Linked DNA regions of Yarrowia lipolytica. The protein of the gene in region 1 interacts with the protein of each later gene in a pairwise test. Links are inferred from orthologs where the notes say so. Each region holds a gene or a part of one and is shown on either strand. Other genes may lie near its edges.

Evidence for each region. The genes of interacting proteins can lie anywhere in the genome.
Region 2: the proteins of YALI1_D14893g (region 1) and YALI1_D11151g interact in binary tests that used the Saccharomyces cerevisiae proteins (3 or more experiments, as listed by UniProt). The link is inferred for Yarrowia lipolytica from reciprocal best matches to the Saccharomyces cerevisiae genes NOC2 and RRP1.

What each region holds. Positions count from the first base shown.
Region 1 is NC_090773.1:1,486,750-1,490,704, forward strand, and holds YALI1_D14893g (uncharacterized protein), read right to left. Parts: upstream 2,612-3,955; coding exon 551-2,611; downstream 1-550. UniProt on the Saccharomyces cerevisiae protein: Involved in the intranuclear transport of ribosomal precursors.
Region 2 is NC_090773.1:1,113,794-1,116,100, forward strand, and holds YALI1_D11151g (uncharacterized protein), read right to left. Parts: upstream 1,380-2,307; coding exon 501-1,379; downstream 1-500. Other genes in the region: YALI1_D11159g (uncharacterized protein), read left to right, coding at 2,183-2,307. UniProt on the Saccharomyces cerevisiae protein: Required for 27S rRNA processing to 25S and 5.8S.

The sequences.
Region 1 (3,955 bases):
ACCGAGGAAAAAATGTGTGTCACATCCTGTATCTAAGCGATATTTATTCTTTTAATTTCATTTCCAACACAGTTTGCAAATGACACATGAGTTTTTTTTTTTTTTTTTTTTTTTTTTTTTTTTTTTTTTTCTTCATGAGAGGTTCGAACCTGGGGAGCTCGACTCTCTAAGTATTTACTTGAATTTGTTTGTTGGAAAATGGTTGATTCTACTGTAGAAGCCCAGACTAAGAGAAGAGACGATTCAAGCACAGGAGATCTACTAGGATTCCATAGAAAACAGGTGTACTGAAAAATCTTTGTTGTTCATCCTGTAGCTAGCTCTGTCTGCTGATGAACAGCCATCTGACTACAGGTATTGTCTTTAGCTCCTTGATAATTGCACTTGTAGTATGGATGTGATGAACACAGTATTGTACACCTACTAATGCCAAATTTTCTCGTGGTTATCCCATGGCATCTTGGCTAGCAGTGTACATACATAACACACTTTGGATCTACTTCGCGTATTCTTGATTTCATTCATATTGCATTGTCTATAGTCTACTAGGTTACTCCATCTCCTCGTCCTCATCCTCCTCCTCGCTCTCACTGAGCTGTTCGGGCTCGTCCTTGAAGTCGGCCAGCTCGACCTGGTCGGACTCGTTTCCGTCGTTAGCGTCCTGTTCTTGCGATTCTCGAAGAATGGCAAGCTTCTCGGCTCGCACCTGTCGCTGCACCACCACATAGGAACCCAGAGGGGTCTTCTGCCAGTCCAGGTCCTTGAGGAAGTTGTTGACCTGGTCTCGGTTGGTGGGGCCAAAGTCAATGTTGGCTCGCTTCTGCTCAATAAACTTGGCGTTGGCGTCGATCTTATCCAGCAGAGTCAGCAGCTGGCGGTTGAACTTGGAGATGTTGGACCGTTTGGTAAACCGCTTGAGAGTGATTACAGCTGGAATGGCAAGCTCGGGGAAGGCCACTGACTTGCAGTAAAGCACAAAGAACTCGGACACCAGCTCCACAATCTGGTCGCACACACCCTCCTGGTAGACTCGAGAGCCCAGATAGCCCTTGTTGGCTCGGATGGCGTAGTCAAAGTCCAGGGGCTTGAGAGCCGAAGACTTGGGGGGCTTGGTCATGACCGACGAGTTAAGCAGCTCTGTGAGAAGAGGCAGCAAAGGGATGTAAACTCCAGTTCGCTGGGAGATTCGGAGCAGAGATCTGATCAGGTAGAATCGCAGAGGGAAGAACTGGACCGAGGGGATTAATCGGATCGTTCCAAGAGTGACCTGGACCAGAGGGTATAGCAGAGGTCGAAGAGGGGACTGAGAGCCCTTAGTGGCCTCGTTCTCGGCGTCACAGGTATCGGCAACCACTCGGGACCAGTAGTCCAGAGAATGCACAAACTGCCAGTTGTAGACGGCCTTGTAGGCGTGTTTGGAGGCAGTCTTATTGGTCAGAGAGCCTCGCAGGTGGATGGCCAGCTGTCGGATGGCGTCAAAGGCAATAGGATAAGCCTGCTGCTCGTTGACAGCGTACAACATGGCGGCGGTATTCTTCATGAAGTTGATGGTGCCCATGGTGTGGAACGAGGTGTTTTTGCACGAGTTGACAAACTGTCCGTAGGCGGCCTTCAGAATGGCCTCATAGGTACCGGAGTGCTCCTTGGACTCAGTAATTAGCAGAGCAAAGGCAGCCTCTCGGGCAGAAATGGCAGAGCTGGTACCCCAGATGTAGCACACGGAGGCGATGAGGTTCTTAGTGAGCTTTCGATGACTCAGCATGTAGGGCATGACCTTTTTGAGTGCAGCAATGGACCGGATAGTCTCCTCGGCTCCAGTGGTGGTGCTCAAAGACTGCTGCAGGACATCTCCATACGACTTGATGATAGCTGTGGCAGACTTGTTGTTGGTGGCGGATTCCTCGTCGACAACGCTGGTACCCTTCTTGGACTGCTTGAGAGGCAGCTGCTTGGTCAGAACCACAGGCACCCACCTGTTGACCACATCAAATAGCTTGGTGACCACCTTGATGTCGTTGATAACGTATTTGAAGTTGGCAGTAGCATTCTCATCCTCCTGAGAAGCTAGAGCAGCCTTAGCAGCCCGCAGAGCGTTTCTAGCAGCGTCGGTAGATTGAGTCTTCTCCATGGCAGATGCCCACTTCTTGACCATGGCCAGTGTCACCTCCTCCTTGTCCTCCTCCTCGGCGTTGGCGTCCTCCTCCACGTTCTCCTCGTCGTTTAGGTATTTGAGAAACTCGGGGTCGTCCATCTCGGGGGCCTCGTCCTCGTCAGAGAAGGCCTCTCCTTCAGAGTCGTCGTCAGCTTCAATCTGATCCTGCTCGTCCTCGTCTTCCTCGTCTTCAAGTTCCTCCTCGTCCTCGTCCTCCTCAGCGGCCTTGCCCTTCTTTTCGGGAACCTCAAATCCACCCTTCATAAAGTCGCCCACAGACATGTCTTCGAAAAACGAAGGAGCAGCCTTCTCGACCTTGTCTTCGGCAGAGACGCTAGCTCCAGGACGTCGACCCTTGACGGCCTTGGCCTTGGCAGCCTGGTCCACACGTCGCTTATCTATGGTTTTCTTCAGATGCTTGTTTTGGAACTTTTTCGTCGCCTTTGATGCCTTACCCATAGTGATTGTCTTGTAGTGAGATGTGCTTATGCTCAATTTGAAATTTCATCTCGAATTTTTTTAGAGTTGATGCGGGCAGAAAGTTTAATCGAAATGTTGATGAAGACAACTTAGACACGTGATATGGAATCTTATACACGTTAAAACAGCTGTTGACATATATATGTGTTTATAAGACCCATCAGGAATCACATTTACGTCTTATTTTCTACTCATAACCTGTAACTCCACGTCCGGGGGGTGCAGGCTACAGATTTCGAAACGCTAAAAACCGCCTTCGTGGCCAAGTGGTAAGGCGCAGCACTAGTAATGCTGAGATCATCAGTTCAAATCTGGTCGAAGGCAAATATATTTTTTTTGGCTTCCCTTTTCACGAAGACACCAGTACCGGCGGTATGGACTGCGCCCACGCGACTTTTGCTGTATGTGGGTCAGGATTTTTCTAGCGTGGGTTGGTTTGGGAGTGTGAACTTTAGTTGAGGTTTTAACTAAATTTAACAACATGGGGGTGTTGGTATTAGTTTGTTGTAGGGGTAAAAACAGCTTGATTTCCTTTTATTTTTTTGTTCAATATATTTCTACAACTGTCAGAGACATGTAAATATACGTCTAATTACCATGGACTGCTTGCATCCGTTAGACAACCCCAACAGGCAGTTCTCTTAACTAAACTTCCAACAAAGTCAACTACTGTACTTGTACTAGACCACAACCTGTAGCACACCTACTCAAGAGTAACATAATATATTGGGGTTGCTAGTTTTTTTGAAGAAACCTATCAAACCATACCATGTGAGAGGATTCCCAGAAATCATTCAAACCACTCTCGTCCCCCGTAACCGTCCTGTACTTGTTATCGCCTCGTTGCTCCATCCATTTTACATCCAATAACCACCACGGTGCTTCCTAAACCTAGAAGTCCACCAAGGTGTGTAGTGTTATCCCAATATATAATCTGTCATCAGCAAACGACATGGTATACGATACACGGTGGACACCACGATACGGAGGCACACACAGACACGGACACAGACACAGATACAGACACGGGCATAGACGCAGACACAAACCGACGAGACACAGAGACACAAATACAGATAGTATGGACAACACGGACAAACGACATGGTGGTGGAGTACGGTCATTGCACAACACACCCAGTTACCAACACTCAGACACAGAAGACACGATGAAGACAATTCCCCAATGATGAGCGAATCATCTTTTGCTACGTCACCGGTGCTGTAATTTCCGACTATCTCGTTCTATCTCATCTTTCGACAACTCGGCGATACTCATCAAGATAATGCCAATGCTATCTATCCACTATCAGAGCTTCGGATA
Region 2 (2,307 bases), about 370 kb from region 1:
GAGATCCAATTGTGAACACGGGTTAGTCCATTGTAACCAGTATAAAAAGATAACTTGACAAGTGCGGACTTCTTGTAGAGAGTGACTGTCGGACACTCTACTGCCAGCGAATTGTGTGCTCCACTAAATGTGAGAATGCTTCTTTCTTTGCTTATTGGAGCGTGAGAAGTTGTATCGCAAACCTGGAATATGTCCATTTCTTGGTCCACAATGAAACAGAAGGTTAGAGTGTGTACAGTGTGTACCTACTGTAGCCAGTTTGTTCTCCTCAATGAAGATATATCTACATGCTGTAATTGTACGCCTTTAAGCCCTGTCCACTCTACCATCGCTTACGACCTCCTTTCTGCGCCTAACAACTATCTGTACGTGAATATTAAATATATGTCTATGTCTTTTATGGATGGATCTCTAGTATCCGTATACTGCTTGCTAGATCCTTGGTGATGTTCTATAGGGAAACCATTTGGAGCCAGATAGCTATGGTCGGAGACTCGGGTTTAAACAAACCCAGCCCACTCGTCCTCCTCGTCCTCCTCGTCCTCCTCGCCAGCGCCCTCGAGCTCCTCGGCAACACCCCACTCGATGAGCAGAGGGTTCTCGAGCACGTCCTCCACACATCGCTTCTGAACGACCGAGTTTTTGGTCTCCTCGGACAGAGTCTCGACTGCCTCGAGAAGCTCGGAAACGGGAACGTCGGCAAACAGCTCCTTGACCAGCTCGGCCTCCTCTTCCTCGTTCTCGGCCTCCTTCTTGTCCTTGAGCACCACCTTGGCCAGCTCTTCTAGATAGATTTCCAGCACGTGGTACCGAATACTGTCGGGGATCTTGGGGTTTTCGGGGTTGAGAGGGATCTTGCTCATCACCTCATTGTGTCGCTCGATCCAGGTCTCGTCCCAGTCCTCCTTGGCAAGTCGCTGGAAGGCGAAGCCCACGTACCGTCTAAGCAGCAGGTAAAACTTGTCGATTCGGTGCTTGTCTAGCGCGAGCCACTCGGCGCTCATAATCTTCCAGAAAGAAGCCAGGAATGTGAAGTAGTTGGTCTCGTGGACAACCAGCAGCAGAGAAGCCATGTCGTCGGCCAGACGCTGCTGTGTTCGAGGTCGGTCGCTGAACCACATGGAGAAGAACAGACCCTTCCACAGCTTAAGCAGTTCGAGCTCACCAAAGGCCTTGGGGGTTCCCAGGAACCGCTTGAGCGAGTTGAGAGTCTCGTCTCGAGTGGGTCGGTCATTGGCAGCCAGCTTCTTGATAAACGGGTAAGCATCGGGGCTTCCGAGCTGGATATCATCCGCGGAGTTGTCTTCCTTCTTAGAGTAGGGCTTATCTGCCTTGATGGCGGCCTTCTTGGACCCCTTTTTCACTTTGCCAGCAGCCATTGTAGTTGTAGTGTCTTGTGGTGGTTTGGATTGTATGCACCTCTATATTTTTTCAATCACTGCAGCTCGAAATTTTTTAGTGCTGCTTGAGAGAAGCATGAAAAAGGCAAAGTTGCAGGCGACCTCAGTTCGAGTCCCATGGTGGTAGCAGTAAATCACAGCAATAGAGCGGGTATCGAAGGAACGACAAAGTCCTTGCAACACTAGAAGCCTCAAAAAGTGTTATAAATATTAATAGGCCAACTCTTCCTATTTCTCGAGACTATACTACCCCCTTACCCTCAACTAAACCTCAACTAAACCACAACTAAAGTCCCAACTAACCTGTTGTCCCCTATCACTCACCCATTTTTAAAACTCTAAAAATACAACAAACGGTGTCCCCACAAAATCCCCCCAAAAAGGCGAAAAAAGCTCAACGGCATGGGAGCCTACACTGCTACAATATCGTCGCTACCGTGGTACTAGCCAAAGAATCAACCGCGTAGGAGGAGCGAACAGACCGATCTGCCCACTCGCTCTCACGTGACCCCATCCACGTGACTGCCCTCACTCAAGCCAACATCTGGGGCCCGCGTATTCCCCGAATCTCACATAACCTCGCCCAGCAGTATGTACGGTTCGGATATCGACGCGCATCTCCTGCCCTAACCCAGATGCCCAATGCAGGCTCCCCCACAAAACCATCTATTGCCGGGACCTAAAAAGTGTAGTGGGTTATAAGCCAGCTGAGACCCCGCGACATCTTACGACACTCTTCCACTGACCACGTCGACATTTGTGTGAATACAACTAGACCCGTCATGCTTCGAGCCGTTTCCAACCACGCCTGTTTGAGACAGGCTCTTTCCAGTACTCGGACTCTGAGAACTGGTCTCCAAAAACATGTCCATAAGACCCAGTTTGTGTCTGTGCGACACGTGTCGAC